Diceros bicornis minor: one gene and its partner. Each later gene encodes a partner of the first gene's protein in a complex. Links are inferred from orthologs where the notes say so. Each region holds a gene or a part of one and is shown on either strand. Other genes may lie near its edges.

What was found.
Region 2: the proteins of RAB7A (region 1) and RILP are in contact, whole or in part, in a crystal structure (PDB 1YHN), measured with the Homo sapiens proteins. The link is inferred for Diceros bicornis minor from reciprocal best matches to the Homo sapiens genes RAB7A and RILP. Residues at the interface, in NP_004628.4 of Homo sapiens: Ser3, Lys6, Leu8, Ile41, Gly42, Ala43, Asp44, Phe45, Leu46, Thr47, Thr58, Trp62, Ser72, Leu73, Val75, Leu182, Tyr183, Asn184, Glu185; in NP_113618.2 of Homo sapiens: Phe248, Glu249, Leu252, Gln253, Arg255, Asn256, Lys259, Ala260, Phe263, Leu264, Glu267, Glu268, Tyr271, Arg274, Glu275.

What each region holds. Positions count from the first base shown.
Region 1 is NC_080741.1:93,393,753-93,403,483, forward strand, and holds the start of RAB7A (ras-related protein Rab-7a), read left to right. Parts: upstream 1-4,992; 5' UTR 4,993-5,080; intron 5,081-9,731.
Region 2 is NC_080757.1:16,094,325-16,104,533, forward strand, and holds the start of RILP (rab-interacting lysosomal protein), read left to right. Parts: upstream 1-6,217; 5' UTR 6,218-6,383; coding exon 6,384-6,611; intron 6,612-6,682; coding exon 6,683-6,776; intron 6,777-6,865; coding exon 6,866-6,972; intron 6,973-7,061; coding exon 7,062-7,307; intron 7,308-7,596; coding exon 7,597-7,742; intron 7,743-8,135; coding exon 8,136-8,258; intron 8,259-8,386; exon of another isoform or gene 8,387-9,178; intron 9,179-10,209. Other genes in the region: PRPF8 (pre-mRNA-processing-splicing factor 8), read left to right, coding at 105-218, 300-473, 768-961, 1,694-1,933, 2,032-2,173, 4,418-4,558, 4,695-4,834, 4,937-5,139 and 1 more. UniProt on the Homo sapiens protein: Rab effector playing a role in late endocytic transport to degradative compartments. Involved in the regulation of lysosomal morphology and distribution.

The DNA of each region.
Region 1 (9,731 bases):
CTGAGCAGACCAATAATAAGTGAAGATATTGAATTAGTAATTTTAAAAACTACCCACAATGAAAAGCCCATGGCTTCAGTGGTGAATTCTACCAAACATTAAAGAATTAATACCAATTTTTCACAAACTCTTCTCAAAAATAGAAGAGGAAGGAACACTTCCCAATTCATTTTATGAGGCCAGTATTACCCTGATACTAAAACCAAAGACATCACAAAAGAAGAAAACTATAGACCAACAGCTTTGTATGAATACACATGCAAATGTTCTCAACAACAAATTAGCAAACCAAATCCAGCAACATATAGAAAGAATTATACACCATGATCAAGTGGCCTTTTTCCCAAGAATATGAGGTTGGCTTAACATCCAAAAATCAATTAATGTAATACAGTATAATAATAGAATAAAAATGAAAGCGAAATTAAGATTTTCCCATGTAAACAAAAACTGAGAGAATCTGTCACTAGCAGACCTGCACTACAAGAAATGCTAAAGGGAATCTTTCAGGCTAAAATGAAATGATACCAGACAGTAACTCAATTCCAAAGGAAAAAATAAAGAGCGCAAATAAAGGTAACTACATCAGTAAATATAAAAAACAACATAAATATACTTTTTGTTTGTAGCTCTTTTTTTTCTTCTATGTGATTTAAGCCATAATTATATCTATTATGTGGATAAAAGTGCAAAGGCCTGATGTTCCTGTTTATTTTGGTTTGTGCTGTCCAGTATGAATGTCATTGAAGGACAAAGAGGCACCAGCACTTGGGGAAGTTATTTCATTCCTGTGCCCTATTTCCTGACTTGTAGCATCTCTGACTGGCTGGGCCACAGACCCATAGTTGTGTGCAATGGGCCCAGGAGGGCCAGCCACTGGCTGCCGGCTCAATGCTGACCTGAGTGGCATTCCTGCCACAGATCTGCTGTGCACCGTGATGCCATGCATACCTACCCAAGATCTCAAGCATGATGGCTAATCTGTCTTCTTCATGGCTGGTTTCACTTTCTCCAGTGGCTTTTTTTTTCTTTTTTTGCTGAGGAAGATTTGCACTGAGCTAACATCTGTGCCAATCTTCCTTTATTTTGTATGTGGGTTGCTGCCTCAGCATGGCTGATAAGTGGTGTCATGTGCCCAGGATCCAAACCTGTGAACCCAGGCCACCAAAGTGGAGCAGACCAAACTTAACCACTACACCATGGGGCCAGCCCCTCCAGTGGCTATCTTTTGAGAACTACAGAACTTCGGGCACCTAAAAACTCATCCAAACCTCGGCACTAAAAGACAACCAATCTCTAGAATGACTTCTAGCAGCATGAGGCCGTGTCCTTAGGATGACCCCAGCCCCCCATTAAAATGCCTGCCTGAGAAAGCTCAAACACTGCCAGCAGAACTCACTATTCTCACCAACACCTGACTTCCTTTTCTTAGAGCATTTACTAAAAAGGGCTTGTAATTATGACTCTTTACTCTGTCCCTTTGAGATGTATCTACTACAACTCAGGAGTGTCAGGATTATAGGGCCACCGGGCTGGCCCTATAATCACCTTTACAGTGACCTACACTTTGTAATTTTCCACTGGAGCCCCACTCTCTCTCCTTCCCTACCCTCTTCCTTTAAAACTCCCAGTCACCTCAGTGCAAATAGGAACAGAGCTCAGCTCTTCCCTTGCTGTCAGCAGTTACTGAGTAAAATCTGCTTCCACCACTCCAGCTGGTGCTTCAAACCTTGGCATATGCAAATAGTTTTAAAACAAGGTAGATTTGCCTGTGGGAAGGAGAGAGAGAGAGAGGACTGGGAGGAAGCAAGCAGAAGACATCAGGGGGCTAGGAACGTTGTTTTTCCTGATAAGTGGTGGTTACACAGGTGAGTTCACCTTGTGCTAATTCATTAAACTGCTCACTTACGATTTAGGCACTTTTCTCAATGTGCTTTGTTTCAGTATGAAAACAAAGCAAAAGAGTAATACTCAGTAGAGAAGCTGACATAAAACAATACATACTATATTACATATTTATATAAATTCAGACATACCCAGAGAAACTATACTGTATTGTCCATAGGTGTACACTTTAGTGGTGTTATTTTGAAGCAATGCTTCTCAAATTTGAGCACATCAGAATCATCTGGAAAGCTTGTTAAAACCACAGACGGCTGGGCCCCCTTCCAGTTTCCAATTAAGTAGAATTGGGCTGGGGCCTGGGAATTTTCGTTTCTAACAAGTTCCCAGTTAATGCTGGTATGGTTGATCCTGGGACCACACTTTGAGACCCACTGTTACAAAGAATGGCAAGGAAGTATTTACCATAAATGTCAGGATAATGGTTATCTCTGGCGGGTGGAAGGGGCTTGTGAACGGTAAAGGCGCACAAGGGGGAGCTGCTGGGATGCTGGCGACATTCTCTTTCCTCACTTAGGTAGTGATTACATAGATATCCACATCAAAATAATTTATTAAATTGAACATTTGTTTTATGCACTTTTTATATATATTATGATTCACAATAAAAAAAAAAAGGTTAAAGCAATTTTAAAAACAAAAGAAAAAGAGTCTGCATCCCTAATGGCACACTATGCCCCATAGGCCTCCTTGGACTACTTATTCCATGAGATAGATTAATTCTTGTCTGTTTAAGCCACTAGAGAAGGGTATTGTGTTATTTGCAGCCAAACACAATCATAATTATATGTGATAATCTTGGAGCTCATTCCATAATAGCACTGCTTTATTCTTTTTAAGGGCTGTATAGATGTGTCATATTTTTAAAACCAAACCAGTCCCCCATTGATGAACAATTAGGTTGCTTCCAGACTTTTCTATTCAAACAATGCTGGATTGTATTGGTGGGAGAGAGGGAGAATCTCCCTCTGCCCTTTTCCTTAAGGTTCTTATGGCTGGCCAAATAATTAACAAGACAGGTTAGCAGGAGAAAATAATACCAAGTTTAATAACATGTATACATGGGAGAAAGCAGGGACATGGCGTTTCTCAACACAATAACAGAAATTCTCGTCTTAAATACCATGTTCAGCCAATGACAAAGGAGGATGTTGGGGGTGGGAGGAGTCAGTTACAGGAGTTACCACTAAAGCACAGTAAACAAGAGTAAGGTTATTATGCAGATTTAAGGCCTCACCTTCCACATTGATAAGTCTCTAGAAATGAGGCCATCTCCCCTTTTCCCAATACAGAGAGGGCGATACCTTTACAAATGGAGATTTCCCTTATAAATGTAAATGTTTGTCTGGCAACTCCTCGCAGGGCCATCCAGAGAATGTGGCCAGAGAGACATAAGATGGGCTTGTTGGTGCCTTTTCTATTGTAACATCTATTTTACATTATATTACAGCCATCAGATAGAAGGTCTGTTCCAGGAAGGAGTTACTATGTCAAATTCTTTAGACAGGTAGTGGGGGAGGTCAACTGTGCCTCAGAGAAAACAATCAAGGTAAAGAGATATATTTCAGGGTGGCCAAATCTTGATCTCCCACAGTATCTCTTTGTACATATGTCTGAGCACATGGGGGAGCCCACCTGTAAGATAATTTTCTAGGCCTTGAAGTGCTTGATCAAAAGATTTGTACAAGGGATTATTCTAAGTTAACAGACATTATACAAATGTACACTCCCACCAATAGGTATCACAGTGCCTGTTTTCCCCAGCCTTGCCAACACAGTTTCCCATCAAAAGGCACACCAAGTGATGGCGGAGGACACCAGAACTCTCTCTCTTCCTAAAAACCTGGCTAGGGGGCCCTATTACCCTGGTTTTATAGGTAAGTAAACAGATTGCCAAGGATAAGGGACCTACTTTTCTCAACTTCAGCCTCCATTTCTGGATTGGATTAACATCTTCTAAGAATAGATATGGTAACTGCTCCGTGTCATAGCGATTATTATTATTACTATCATTCCCACTTCCCATTCTGCAAGCTAGAAGCCATTTCTTCACTTCTGGTGCAGACAGGACAAAAATTGTGTTCTAGCCTCTCTAATCCATTCCCTCTGGTACTCCCTGAGGCCAGTCCTTCTTCTCTTCCTCCCACCCTCTTCTCTTCCCTCCCCTAATGAGCCTCTCTTCAGAAGCCCCATTGCTCGTCACAACAAGGCTGCAAGAAGTATTGGTTCCTGTTTCTTTACCATCTTATTAGCACATACCCCGACAGGGTCCTGTTCCCAGAGAGAATGTGTAGTGGTTAAGATCAGAGACACCCACCCCAAACTGCCTGGGCATTGCTACTGGCTATCCTGTAACCTTGGACAAATTACTTCTGCTTTCCTCACCGTCCTCATTTGTAAAATGGGAATGCTGATACTCCCTACTTCAGAGTCGTAGGTTGAGTACAGATAATATGTGCCTGGCACGTGGTTGTTGTTGTTATATTACTATTATCAATGGAGAAGAAACTAATACTAAGAACCTGGCACTGTAATCTGAAAAGTCACTTAATCCTCGCAACAGTCCCCCAGAATAGATTGTTATTCCATTTTAGAGCAACGGGCGAGAGAGACCGCTAATCCCATCTCTGCCAGGGTTTAGCAGAGCGACCAAGAGTGCGAGTCTGTTTTCTCCCCTGTAAACAGTAACAATAACGCGTGCCTCGCCCTGTCCTGCGGAGTACTAACAGACCACGCAGAAGCCCTTGAACAAACTTGCTTTCCTTCCCCAGTTTCCCATCCACACGCCCCGCCACACCCCTATCGCTCAAGCGCAAGTTCACATTTCAGTCCAGGCTCCCCCAGTCGTCACAGCCGGGACGCGTGACGTCACGGCCCCGCCCGAGCAGACCCGGAAGCAGAATCCCCTACAGGTCCGAGCTGGCATTACTGCTCGGGCCCGCTGCCAGAGGGCGCGAGAGTCGCCGATGTTGGCTAGCACCTCCCTTGTTTCGTCGCAGGCCGGTCCCGGAAATGGAAGCGTTTGCCGTACAAGATGGCTGCTTCCTTTGTGGTGGTATGGAACGCTGAGAGGCTGTCCTGGTTCTGGGAGGCGCGGTGATCTGAGCGCAGTGATTGCTGCGCAGCCTTCTCGTACAAGTTAGCTGCTGAGGAGTTTCCAGGTGTCTTTCTTGAGGCGGTAGGTGGCCACAGGTACAAGATGGCGGCCCCCACTGCGGGCTCGCGGCGGGCGGGGAATGGGGGCGGCGTGCGCGGTTGCGCAAGCGGGGCGGCCCTCCAGCAGGGTGCGGCTGAGCTCGCGGCCGGCTTTTGTGTGCCGGGAGGGTGACGCCGCCGGGCCGCGCTGTGGAGTGCTGAGACCCGGGTAGGGGATTTTGCTCCCAGCAATTGAGAGAGGTGGGCAGAACCGAGATTCCTGGAAGCCGCAAACTGACTCCTGTAGACAAAGACTCGTTTTTTGCTATTTTAAGCCGTGAAACCAGAGTATAACCAGGTGAAATAAATTGGAGTAGATCCTTTCAGAGAACTAACCTGCCATCGCTAGAAAGAGCAAAGCGGCACTTTATATACTAATATATATTTTTTTTGCTGAGGAAGATCAGCCCTGGGCTAACATCCACACCCATCTTCCTCCACTTTATATGGGACTCCGCCACAGCATGGCCTTACAAGAGGTGCGTGGGTGCCTGCCCGATGCGAACCCGCCAACCCTGGCCCAGCAGCAGAGCGCATGCACTTAACCGTTTGCGCCACCAGGCCGGCCCCACAAAGTTCTTTTATAAAATTATAGTAAAGAGAATAACACGTTTAAAAAAAAGTGAGCTTTTTCAGCTGGAACCATGACATTTAATGAAGATTCTTGAGATTGAATTTGTAAGGATAAAAATTTGAAGGTCGGTACTGTAGTACTTGCTGCAAAGGATACAGATCCATGTGACAACCTGAGCCCTCTTGAAAGCTAGATATAGGTTTGGTTTTGTTTGTTGAGGGGAGGAAGGGAGATGGGGGGTTTGGCTGGCACACAGAATGCGCTCAAGACCTCCCTGTTGAATGAATGCCTAAATGCCTGTCCACTGCCAACACACGTGTTCTCAGCAGCTTAGTCTTGCTGGTATAGCTTCTGATATTTCTAGGGTTAGTATAGTGGAAAACAATAGCAGCATTGAATTAGAGTTTAAACCGAGTGTGTTTTTTGGCCTTAAAATCATCCAGAAATGTGTTTCCAATGCTTAAAAAATAAAGTAGCAGCCGTTTCAGAATTGGCATTGATCTTGGGAATCGCATATTTGAATGTGAAGGAAATGCCAGTCCTCCATGACCGTACTGAGCCTTTGCTAGTGTGCCAGACACTGGACTAGTGGGCACTCTTACATGTACCACTCTGGGTTATTGGGTGTATTAAATATGGTAATATATGGAGCTGGCCTGGTGGCATAGCAGTTAAGTGCACGAGCTCCACTGTGACGGCCAGTGGTTCGCCAGTTTGGATCCTGGGCGCGCACAGACCACCACTCGGCAAGCCATGCTGTGGCAGCGTCCCATATAAAAAAGTGGAGGAAGGTGGGCACAGATGTTAGCCCAGGGCCAGTCTTCCTCAGCAAAAAAGAGGAGGATTGGCAGAGGTTAGCTCAGGGCTGATCTTCCTCACACACACACACACACACACAAAAATGGTAGTATAACTGGAGTTTAGCCAAGTTCCTGACCTGTACTAAATGCTCAATAAATATTAGCAATTACTATTTTGGGGCAACTGTGAGTTTCTCGATTCAGTACATTTTTGCCTCTGAGACCTTATGGAGACTTTAAAAATATGGTAGCTACTGTAGAGAACTTACTGTTTTTTTTTAATCAACTTAGAGGCCACATGGTATAATGGAAAGAATTTAGGTCCTTATTGTGTTTCTTTGAGTAAGTTACTTAACCTTTAGGGACTTTAGTCTCCTCATGTGTAAGCCGAGAATCACAAAACCTCTGTTGGAGGCTCACTGTGAAGATAATGATTAGAAGTAATGTATGTAAAGCACTCAGTAAGTGTTCTCTAATTCTGTAATATTTCAACCTCAGAGTTAAGGAACTAATACTGCACTCAGAGGCAGGAGAACTTCTCTGGTCAGGGGCAGGAGTAGGCGGCCACAGGGTGACAGTTAACACAGGAAGCCTACAAGCAGAAATTGGAGGGATGACAGGTCCACTGGCTTCAGGGCCTTAGGCTTCCTCTCTCCATTGGGAAAATGGTGAGGCCGCCACACCAGGCAGATATGGTCTGCAGGCCCTTTGCAGAGGTGCCCCCTTGCCAACAGCGACCTGCACTGTTTCAGCTCACAGTCGCCTCTTTGGAGCATCTTAACACTGTCTCTCAGAGGCATCAGCCACTGTTTATGAGGCTCATTCCTCATACTTTAGTATTTAATATGAAGTACCTACTGCATATGTTTAAATTTTTTTTAAATTTTAAATTGTGGCAAAATATAAATAACATAAAATTTACCATCTTAATATTTTTTAAGTGTACAGTTCAGTGGCATTAAGTACATTCATATTGTTTTCTCCAGAAGTCTTTTCATCATACAAAAAGATGAAACTCTACCCATTAGCAATAACTGTCTGAAACTCTGTACCCATTAAATAATACCTCTCCATTCTGCCTTCCCAGCAGCCCCTGGGAACCACCATTCTACTTTCTGTCTCTGAATTTGACTACTCTAGGGACCTCATGTAAGTGGAGTCATATAGTATTTGTCTTTTTATGACTGGCTTATTTTACTTAGCATAATGTCAGAATTTCCTTCCTTTTAAAAGCTGAGTAATACTCCATTGTATGCATGTTCATATACCACTTAAGGGGAGCAAAATATGCCACCCCAAAATGTGCCACTTTGGCATGTGGGTTATTTTGAGCTGAAGGCAGTCAAGACCTAGCAGACTCAGGAAAATCTTTTCCCTCTCCCTTAACTGCCTAAAAGAGTTTAAATAGGGGCCTGGCTGAGGAGGAGAGCAATTACCAGAGATTTCTTTTTATCTGTAAGACTTACCTGCGTGGCAGGGCAAACATCTGCTCTTCTTGTCTTCTGGTGCATTGCCTTTCTCCCTTTTGAAGGCTCAGGCCCTTATTCCCTTCCTTAGGTCAGGATAGCATATAAGCCTCAATTGCCTGACAGCTTTTGGGTCTCATGTTTTTATGGGGCTCCCATACATATGAAATTAAATTTGTTTTTCTCCTGTTAATCTGTCTTATATCAATTTAATTATTAGATCAGCCAAAGACCCTAGAAGGGTAGAAGGAATTTTTTCTGCCTCGACACCACATTTTGCTTATCAATTCATCTGTTTGTTTTTTTTTTTTTGTGAGGAGATCAGCACTGTGCTAACATCTGCCAATCTTCCTCTTTTTTTGCTGAGGAAGACTGGCCCTGGGCTAACATCCGTGCCCATCTTCCTCCACTTTATTTATTTATTTTTTCCCCCTAAAGCCCAGTGGATAGTTGTACGTCATGGTTGCACATCCTGCTAGTTGCTGTATGTGGGATGCCGCCTCAGCATGGCTGGAGAAGCGGTGCGTCAGTGCACGTCCGGGATCCGAACCTGGGCCGCCAGCAGCGGAGCGCACGCACTTAACCGCTAAGTCACGGGGCCGGCCCCTTCCTCCACTTCATATGGGACGCCGCCACAGCATGGCTTGCCAAGCAGTGTGTCGGTGTGCGCCCGGGATCCGAACTGGCGAACCCTGGGCCGCTGCTGCAGAGCGCAAGCACTTAACGCTTGCGCCACCGGGTCAGCCCCTCAATTCATCAAGTGTTGATGACACTTGAGTTGCTTCCATCTTGTGACTATTGTGAATAATGCTGCTATGAACATGGGGTGCATACATATTTTAATATGAAGAAATATCCAATAGGATTATAGAGAGTAGAGTATATTTTATATATTTACATTTGATAAAGTAATTCTGAGTCATAAAAAATATGATATTATGAGGGTATTTACCAGGTCATTAGAAGATTTAAAAAATATAATTAGTCATTGTGCATCATGGGCCATGACGTGGCCCAGTAATGGGACACAGGTTTAAAGTTCTCTGATAATCGTGGTCTTCCTTTCTGCTGTGTCAGTGAGTTTGGGAAATTTCCTGGATAATCTTATTTAGAGATGGCATCGAAAACCTAAGGAATAGATGCACGAAAATAGGGATCAAAGACCTTTAACAAAGGATTGTAAGGAGAACTATTGGAAACACCTAAGGCCTAATTTATTCATGTGTGAAATGTGGATAATAGGATTTATCTCAGGAGGTGGTTGTGGGGATAGCAGAAGTCACAGTGAGTAAAGGGCTCACCTAGCCAGCAATGAATGTTGGCCATGATGATAATGATGTCTGTGGACATGGAAAAATGTTCATAATATGCAACTAATTTTAAAAAGGAATGCAGTAAATCTACGTGAAGGGCATATGGGGATTCTTTGTACTGTTCTTGCAACTTTTCTGTAAGTTTAAATTTATATCAAAATAAATAAGTTTGTGGGTTTTTTTTTTTTTTTTTTGCTGAGGAAGATTAGCCCTGAGCTAACAGCTGTTGCCAGTCTTCCTCTTTTTGGTGAGGAAGATTGGCCCTGGGCTAACATCTGTGCCCATCTTCCTCTACTTGATTATATGTAGGACGCCTGCAACAGCATGGCTTGATAAGTGGTGCGCAGGTCCATGCCTGGGATCCGAACCTGCGCACCCTGGGCCAGTGAAGCAGAGCACGTGAACTTAACCACTACGCCACTGGGCTGGCCCCCAAAATAAGTTTTAAAAAAAACATCAGGGCTGGCCCCGTGGCTTAGTG
Region 2 (10,209 bases), on another chromosome or scaffold:
AGTGCTCAGTGGAAACACAGTTTATTTCAAGACCAGAATCTTCTGTTTTAGTTGACCTGGAAGGGTGGAGACTCAATTTCCATTTCCTTCTCTCTTGCTTTTAGTTGGCTAAGTGGAAGACAGCTGAGGAGGTTGCTGCCCTGATCCGATCTCTGCCTGTGGAGGAGCAGCCCAAGCAGATCATTGTCACCAGGAAGGGCATGCTGGATCCATTGGAGGTGAGAGGTGGATGAGGTAGAAGGAAGGAGAGCTGAGATCGGCAGGTTCTGTTTCTAATCTTGGACTTGATCTTCTCTCAGGTGCACTTGCTGGACTTCCCCAATATCGTGATCAAAGGATCAGAGCTCCAGCTCCCCTTCCAGGCTTGCCTCAAGGTGGAAAAGTTTGGGGACCTCATTCTTAAAGCCACTGAACCCCAGATGGTTCTCTTTAACCTCTATGATGACTGGCTCAAGACTATCTCATCTTATACGGTATGAAGCCACCTCACGAAGAGGGTCACTCTAAGAGGGGTGGGTTTGGGGGCCACGAGAAGATCACGTGCCTTAGCTTTTCCCACAGGCTCCTTATGGGGCCTTTTCACATCTTCACCCTGTGGATGGGACAGTGACTCTGTGCTCTGCATATCAAGTTGACTTGTGGTGGGGTAGCGGGGTGGTACCTTAGAGTTTGAAATCAATTCCTGGGTTCCCTGAAAGGGTAGGATCAAGGAAAGGGGAAGAACATCAGGGGCTGACCTCCCCCTACATTGCCACATCTTTTCCTAGGCTTTCTCCCGCCTCATCCTGATTCTGCGTGCCCTGCATGTGAACAATGACCGGGCAAAGGTGATCTTGAAGCCAGATAAGACTACTATTACAGAACCACACCACATCTGGCCCACTCTGACTGATGAGGAATGGATCAAGGTGGAGGTGCAGCTCAAGGATCTTATCTTGGCTGACTATGGCAAGAAAAACAAGTGAGCAGTGGTGGTGGGGAGACAGGTGGAAGATCCAGAAAAGGTGAAATCACGGGCTCAGTGTATGGTTTCTGAGTTTTTTGAAACATTTAGGCTCAGAAGTTTCTCAAGAAATTGTCCTGGAGATGCCTATAGAAGAGAGGTGGGCAGTGTCTTCAGACAGTGTAGGAAGTATCTGCGTTTCAGGGCTTCAGTCTGACTCTCGGGCGTTGTTTCTCAGCGAAGGCACTATTGCCATTTTGAGCAGGGCATTTCTTTACTGTCCACACATTACAGGAAGTTTTAACATCCCAGACCCCCAGGTGCCACTGCTAATAGCACACACACAGCTTCTTTCCTTGTCTTTTCCTGTCATTATGGCAACAGTGCCACAAAAATGTCCATAGATTTCCAGATACCCCCTAGGGTGACTGACCGTTACTAACTCTGGTTGAGAACGTGTTCTAGGATTTCCGTTTTTGAGAATTGTCTTGTGCCAGAGAAAGTGCAAGCTATGGATGCTGAGCAGGTTTAAGCATGGCTCAAAGGTGCACAAGCACAGGGACATCCTGGGATGTGCCAGATCTTATCAGTATTAGTACATCTCCACTTCAGACTTCTTTTACAAGTGTCACTTGAGGATTATCTGGGGTAAGAGTGTGGGCTCCCCTGTCCCACCAGGTTACACTCTTGCCATTGAGGCATAAGTGACCAATGGGAAGGGATCCTTTGTGACCCACACTGTCCCCACAGTGTGAATGTGGCATCACTTACACAATCAGAAATTCGAGATATCATCCTGGGTATGGAGATTTCAGCACCATCACAGCAGCGGCAGCAGATAGCTGAGATTGAGAAGCAGACCAAGGAACAGTCGCAGCTGACTGCAACACAGACTCGTACTGTCAACAAGCATGGTGACGAAATCATCACCTCTACCACCAGCAACTATGAGACCCAGACATTCTCATCTAAGACTGAATGGAGGGTCAGGTACTGTAAGGGGCAAGAGGGGTAGGGATGGAAAGGCCTACTGGTGCTACCTAAGGTTCTTGGGTTGAGAAATGCTGGCATTACCTATCTGTTCTTAGGGCCATCTCTGCTGCCAACCTGCACCTAAGGACCAATCACATCTATGTTTCATCTGATGATATCAAGGAGACTGGTTATACCTATATACTTCCCAAGAATGTGCTTAAGAAATTCATCTGCATATCTGATCTTCGGGCCCAGGTGAGTAAGTGTGCTCAACTAGGCCATAGTGTGTGCCCAACATTTTATGTGCCTAAAACTCACCTGAAAGTTCTTGGAACTTGAGGTGCTGGTTTTAAGATGCGTGGACGAGAGGCCGGCCCGGTGGCATAGCGGTTAAGTGCGCGTGCTCTGTGGTGCTGGCACGGGGTTCGGATCCCGGGTACACACCGACGCACTGCTTGTCAACCCATGCTGTGGCGGCGTCCCATATAAAGTGGAGGAAGATGGGCACGGATGTTAGCCCAGGGCCAGTCTTCCTCAGCAAAAAGAGGAGGATTGGCAGATGTTAGCTCACGGCTGATCTTCCTCACCAAAAAAAAAAAAAAAAAAAAGATGTGTGGATGAGTAAATACATAAAGAGAGCCAAAACAACAAGGAGGGTTTTGGCCCCACCAGATAGTAAAACATTACAAAGGTATGGCAATTAAGAGAATGATGTGGGGCCGGCCCAGTGGCATAGCAGTTAAGTTTGTATGTGCCGCTTTGGCCACCTGGAGTTTGCCACTTCGGATCCTGGATGTGGACCTATTCACCGCTCATCAAGCCATGCTGAGGCAGCGTCCCATGTAGAAGAACTAGAAGGACCTACAACTAGGATATAAAACTATGTACTAGGACTTTGCGGGGAGAAAAGAAAAAGAGGAAGATTGGCAACAGATGTTAGCTCAGGGCCAATCTTCCTCAAAAAAAAAAGAATGATGTATTATTGGCCTAGAAATTACTGGAAGAGAATAGCATATAGTCAGAAACAGATTCATGTGTGTATAATAAATGTGATGTATCAAATCTATGGGATTAAGGATGCCTTAGGCTATTGACACAGAAAAAGGAGGCTAGATCCCTGCCTCACACTACTTATAAAAATAGAATCCACGTGGAGTAAAGATCTGAATGTAAAATACTAAACTGTAGACTATTGGAAGAAAATGTATATTACCTTCATGTTGAGATAGCCTTAAATAAGACACAAAACACAAAACCGTAATTAAAATTAATAACTTTTGTGTGACAAAGGGTACCACAACGACAAGCTAGAAACAGGAAGAGTTGCATAACTCTAAGATACAATGCATCACTCTAGAATAGGGAATTCTCAGAAGTTGATTTAAAAAAAAGTTAACTGTAGAAGAACGGGCAAAGAATATGAAGGTATTTCAGAAAAGGAACTACAGATGGCAAATATAATATGAAAAGATGCACAACTTTACTAGTAATCAGGGAAGTTCATAATTTATAAAACACCAATTTGGGGCCTCAGATTGGTGAATTTGAAAAGATTATTAATATCTCATGCGGGAGGGCCAGCCTGGTGGCTTAGCGGTTAAGTGCGCGTGCTCCACTACTGGCGGCCCGGGTTCAGATCCCGGGTGCGCATCGACGCACTGCTTCTCTGGCCATGCTGAGGCCACGTCCCACATACAGCAACTAGAAGGATGTGCAACTATGACATACAACTGTCTACTGGGGCTTTGGGGGGAAAAAAAAAGGAGGAGGATTGGCAATAGAAGTTAGCTCAGAGCCAGTCTTCCTCAGCTAAAAAAACAGAAGATTAGCATGTATGTTAGCTCAGGGCTGATCTTCCTCAAAAAAAAAAAAAAAATATGTGGGCAAGTTTATGGGAACATGAGTCCTCTTACTTTGCTGATGGCAATGTAAAATTTAACATACCACCTAGTGCTGGTTTTAAAGATATGTTCAGGGCCGGCCCCGTGGCTTAGCGGTTAAGTGCGTGCGCTCCGCTGCTGGTGGCCCAGGGTTCGGACCCCAGGGGCGCACTGATGCACCGCTTCTCTGGCCATGCTGAGGCCGCATCCCACATACAGCACCTAGAAGGATGTGCAGCTATGACATACAACTATCTACTGGGGCTTTGGGGGGAAAATAAATAAATAAATAAATAAAATAAATAAAGATATGTTCAGCTTGTGAAAATTCATGAGTTGTGTGCTCATTTGTTTATGGATACTGTACTTAAATAATTTACTGGAGAGAGTGTGAGCAGTACAGATTCCTGGACCCCACTCAAGAGATTCTGATGTAACTCTGTGATGAGGTTCACGTTTAACATTTTGAACAAGCACCCTGGGTGATTCTGCTGCAGATCTGACCACACTTTGAGAAATTGTCCTTGTTCTTGGGGAAGGGAATGAAACACAGGGCTGACAGCCCAGAGTCTGGGCTGGTACTGAGAATTGTTTTGGTTCTTGACCCTCTGTTCTCCAGATTGCAGGATACTTGTATGGGGTGAGCCCACCGGATAACCCCCAGGTGAAGGAGATTCGCTGCATTGTGATGGTACCACAGTGGGGCACTCACCAGACCGTGCACCTGCCAGGCCAGCTGCCCCAACATGAGTACCTCAAGGTCAGTGGGGGTGTGGGAGAATGGGGGCTTTCTGCTGTCAGGGTGGTGGAGGGAAGGCAGGCATGTTACTCTCATTGGTGGGATTCCTCTCTGCAGATGGGGCTTTAAATAGCTGTTCACTGCTCTTTGCCTACAGGAGATGGAACCCTTAGGTTGGATCCACACTCAGCCCAATGAGTCCCCCCAGCTGTCACCCCAGGATGTAACCACCCATGCCAAGATCATGGCTGACAACCCATCTTGGGATGGCGAGAAGACCATTATCATCACCTGCAGGTGGGCTTGGGCCCGCTTGGAGGAAATATGGTGGGCAGGCATTGCAGGCCAGGGCCCAGAGTGGTGGCCTGAGCTCTGACTCTGTCCTCGTCCCTCTTCCAGCTTCACACCAGGCTCCTGCACATTGACAGCCTACAAGCTGACACCCAGTGGCTACGAATGGGGCCGCCAGAACACAGACAAGGGCAACAACCCCAAGGGCTACTTACCCTCACACTATGAGAGGGTCCAGATGCTGTTGTCGGACCGTTTCCTCGGCTTCTTTATGGTCCCTGCCCAGTCCTCATGGAACTACAACTTTATGGGTAGGTAGGGGAGCACAGGAAAGTGGGGATGGGGTTAGGCCATCACCTTTAGCACCTGAGGCCTGGCTCTGGTTTGGAGCTGGCCTAGGGGCCTGGGCTGGGTGAGGCAGGTGGACCTTCTTAATACTGGACATTTCCTTCTACTCCAAGGTGTCCGGCATGATCCCAACATGAAGTATGAGCTACAGCTGGCAAACCCCAAAGAGTTCTACCACGAGGTGCACAGACCCTCCCACTTCCTCAACTTTGCCCTCCTGCAGGAGGGCGAGGTCTACTCTGCTGACCGAGAGGACCTCTATGCCTAGTTGTTTCCTCACCTCCTGCTTCAGACTCCTGAAAGGCTGGAGCCTTTTACCCCCCAGACGAGCTGGTGACATTCAGCAGCTTGGCCCCTTTTTCATCTATTTTGTGCTTGTTGTTGTGTTGTTGACCTCCTGGTGGCTTGTAATCCTGAACAAAGTATAATAATAAATTTTGTACAAATAGGAGTGTTTGAGTTTTTTTTTTTTGCCCCTGAGCTCAAATTCTGGGTGTAGGGATGGCAGGAGGCTGGACTGACTGACAGCAAGGTAGTGGGCTCAGCCTTGGGGGGTGGGGTACAAGGCTTCCCAGGGGCTGAGGCTCAATATCCTCCAGACTCAGGCAACTGAGGGGGGGTTGGGCTTTCACACTCCTGCTTCCTTGACCACATTTGCCATTTTCCCTCCAAAATACTTAGAAACCATCACCACTTTTCAACATCCCTTGGAGCAGTCCTTGCCATTTTCTGTCTCTGGAAGTTCATGGCTTGTTCTCTGCAGGTGTGGTGCGCAGCCAAGCTCCTTAAGCTTTGTGTCACTCCTGGTCAGGGAAACGGGCACATGGTTGGACAGCTGGCTGTCACTGGCCTCAGCCTCTTGTCTGGAGTGCTTGGCAGCCAAGTCAGGCCCCATGACTCCAGGCAGGGGTGGAGCATGGACTGGGCGTTGTGGGGAGGGCTTGACGGAAGTGACCACTTACCCTGAGCCTCAGCTCTTGGCTGCCTGGCTAGGAGTTGGTTGTCCTGCTTCCTGTGACCTTGGGGGCTTGAACAGGGCAGGGTCCAGGATGCCCAGGCCACTGTCTCCTTCCCCTTAATCGCTCCGCCCTGTCGCTTCCACCCCGCCCTGTACTGCTAAGCTGCTTCCTTGGCCGGGACTGTGGCTTTTTCCTGCCCCACTGGGGCTGGGGGCGCGGGGTGTCGCAGCCCTTGACCGTCTGAGAACATGGAGCCCAGGAGGGCGCCGCCTGGGGCGCACGGCTGGGGGCCTCAAGTGGCCGCGGGGTCGGGGACGGCCGCGGAGCTCGTGTACCATCTAGCGGGAGCCCTGGGCACTGAGCTGCAGGATCTGGCGCGCCGCTTCGGGCCGGAGGCGGCGGCCCGGCTCGTGCCGCTCGTGGTGCGGGCGCTGGAGCTCCTGGAAAAGGCTGCCGTGGGGCCCGTCCCGGACTCGGTGAGTCACTGCGCCCTCCCTCGCCAGCGCGGGTCCAGTGGGGCCCAGTCCTGAGAGCCTGGACTCCCCAGCTGCAGGTGTCGGCGCAGCAGGCCGAACTGGAGCTGCGGCGGCTGCGGGAGGAGAACGAGCACCTCCGCAGACAGCTGCGCTCTGGGCCACAGGGTGAGCGCGGGCCCGGCCAGAGGGACGGGGCGGGGGCAGGCCCAGGGCCTCCCTCCCGCGGTCCGCCGCTAAGAACGCCCCTTCCTCAGAGGATCGAGCTCTGCTGCGGCAGCTCAAGGAGGTAACCGACCGACAGCGGGATGAACTCCGGGCGCACAACCGCGACCTGCTACAGCGCAGCCAGGAGACCGAAGCCGTGAGGGCGGGGCGCGGCGACGGGCGCGGGGCGGGGTTCCCTCCGCTCGGCGCCTCGCCCGCCAGCCCCACTCTCTGCCCCGCCCCCAGTTGCAGGAACAGCTGCAGCGCCTCCTGCTGGTGAACGCAGAGTTGCGGCACAAGCTGGCCTTGGTGCAAACCCAGCTGCGCGCAGCGCGGGACCGCGAGAGCCAGCCAGAGCCGCGGAGCGAAGGGGCCGTGCAGCTGGCTCAGGAGCGGGAGCGGGACCAGGCCGGGGGGCCCGGGTGCGAGCAGAGGCAGGAGCCCGAGCCGGCGACTGCCGGCGCAGGAGCCCCGGGGACCCCTGAGGATCCGGCAAGTGCCCGATGATGTCAGTGACCCATTCCAGGACTCACAGCCTGCAGCACTTGGTGGGCACTCGGGAGAGGTTTGCCGTGCAGGCCCACTGGGAAGTTGGAAGGTGGCGCACAGTGTGCGCCCCCAGCCGGCCTCCTCCCCAATAGAGCATTGGTCTGTCATCTATTGTAGCTCTCTTGCCTCCCAAGTCTCCCTGCTAGTCACATCCTCTCGCCTTCCTGTGATGGCCGGGGGGCAGGGGAGGGCACGCTGAGGCTCCCCTCTGACCCAGCCTGTCCTTCCGCAGGCCGATGCCCCGCAGCAGCCGGGGCGCCCCTCCAAGGTAGGGCAGTGCAACTTCAGTCGAGAGGAGCTTGAGCAGATCCTTCAGGAGCGGAATGAGCTCAAAGCCAACGTGTTCCTGCTGAAGGAGGAGTTGGCCTACTTCCAGCGGTGAGGGCGCCAGGCAGGGGCTGGGAAGCTGAGTGGGGCTCCACTCACACCTGCTCCTGGGCCTCAGGTCCCTGGCCTCATTCTTTGGTTCATTGATATATTCACAGTGCCATGTGCCAGACCCTGTGCTGGGCACTGGGAGGACGTGAATCACACAGCCCCTGTCCTCCTGGAACGTCATCCAAATGCAGGAGGGGGCGGTGCAAAGGGTAACAGCTACTGCAGCAGCAGTCAAGGAAGTATTTCTAGGAGGGGTGACACCTAAGCTAAGGTCTGAGGGGTGATAGCAAGGCAGAGTGTTTCAAAAGGGGGGAACAACATGCACAGGTGCTTGGGTGAGACCTGCTGTTGGCATCCCCACTGCTTTTCCCTGCCCCTCCTGCTCCTCTGTAGGGAGCTGCTCTCAGACCACCGGGTACCCGGGCTTCTCCTAGAAGCCATGAAGGTGGCTGTCAGGAAGCAGCGGAAGAAGATCAAGGCCAAGATGTTAGGGACCCCAGAGGAAGCAGAGAGCAGGTAAGTCCCTGCCTCCATTCCCTCTAAGCCAGCCTCCCTCTCTTGTTCTGCTGAGCCTGATGACACGACATGGTTATGCTCTGCCCAACCTAGCAACCTCATGAGCCTGCTGACCCAGCCTCATCATCTTCTCAGTCTGTTGTCTCAGACTGATGCTGTCTCCCCCGTCTAGTGACCCCTTGAACCTGTCACCTAGCCTAGTCACTCTTGAACCTGCTAACCTGGCCTGGTCACCCCCTGAGCCTGCTGTCCAGCCTGCCCTGCTGAGCCTACCATTCTGGCTTGGTCACCCCTTGGGCCTGATTATCTAGTCTGGTCACCCCCTGAGCCTACCATCCAGTCTGCCCTTCTGAGCCTGCCGCCCTCCTCTCTGGACCGCACTGCTCCCACTTGCCACGCTCGCTGTGCATACTCCTGAAGAAACCTGCTAACATTGCTCCTCCACATTTATTTTTCGGTTCCCTGTCTTGGCTAGATCTGTTTGTTCTCAGAGAGGTAAGACTGTACGGTAGTCCCCCCTCATCCGCAGTTTCGCTTTCTGAGCGAAGTCAACCATAGTCAACCACAGTCCAAAAATATTAAATAGAAAATTCCACAAATAAACAATTCATAAGTTTTAAATTGCGGTCCATTGTGAGTAGCATGATGAAATCTTGCGCTGTCCTTCTCCTCCTCCCCCAGGATGTGAATCATCCCTTTGTCCAGCATATCCACGCTGTATACTCTACCTGCCCATTAGTCATTTAGCAGCCCTCTCAGTTATCAGATCAACTTCACGGTATCACAGTACGTGTGTTCAAGTAATCCTTATTTTACTTAATAATGGCCCCAAAGCACGGGAGTAGTGATGCTGGCAATTTGGTTATGCCAAAGAGAAGACGTCAAGTGCTTCCTTTAAGTAAAAAAGTGAAAGTTCTCAACTGAAAAAGGAAAGAAAAAAATCATGCTCAGGTTGCTAACATCTACAATAACTTGTATTACAGTATATTGCTATACAGTCATGTGTCACTTAACAATGGGAATATGTTCTGAGAAATGCCTTGTTAGGCGATTTTGTTGTGCAAACATCACAGAGTGTACTGAAAGGGAACAAAACTTCCCACCCCAGGGGCCGGCCCCATGGTGCAGTGATTAAGTGCGTGCGCTCCGCTGCTGGTGGCCTGGGTTCGGATCCCAGACGCGCACCCACGCACTGCTTGTCAGGCCATGCTGTGGCGGTGTCCCATATAAAGTAAAGGAAGATGGGCACAGATGTTAGCCCAGGGCCAGTCTTCCTCAGCAAAAAGAGGAGGATTGGCATGGATGTTAGCTCAGAGCTGATCTTCCTCACAAAAAAAACAAAAAAAAAACTTGTCACCACAAAATATATCTCTTTAACATGAGAATTATTTTTAAGAAACAAAAGATTCAGAGCCTGCCCTAATGGTCTAGTGGTTAAAGTTCGGCATGCTCCACTTCAGTGGCCCCGGTTCAGTTCCCCGGGACAAAACCACACCACTCGTCTGACAGTAGTTATGCTGTAGTGGCAGATTACACAGAAGAACTAGAAGGACCTACAACTAGAATATACAACTATGTACTGGGGCTTTGGGGAGGGGAAAAAATATGTATATATCCTGTAAAAGATTCAGAAAGTTTTTCTTGTTACTTCCCTCTTACCTGCCTAAAAGAATTCAGATTAAAAAACCTGTCTCAGGGGGCCATCCAGTGGTGTAGTGGTTAAGTCTGTGGGCTCCACTTCGGTGGCCCAGGGTTCACAGGTTCAGATTCCAGGCACAGACCTACACACTGCTCATCAAGCCATGCTGTGGCGGCGTCCCACATACAAAATAGAGGAAGACTGGCACAGATGTTAGCTCAGGGACAATCTTCCTCACCAAAAAAAAAAAACAAACAAAAACAAACAAACCACCTGTCTCAGGAAGCAGCTATCACCTTAGCATAATGAACT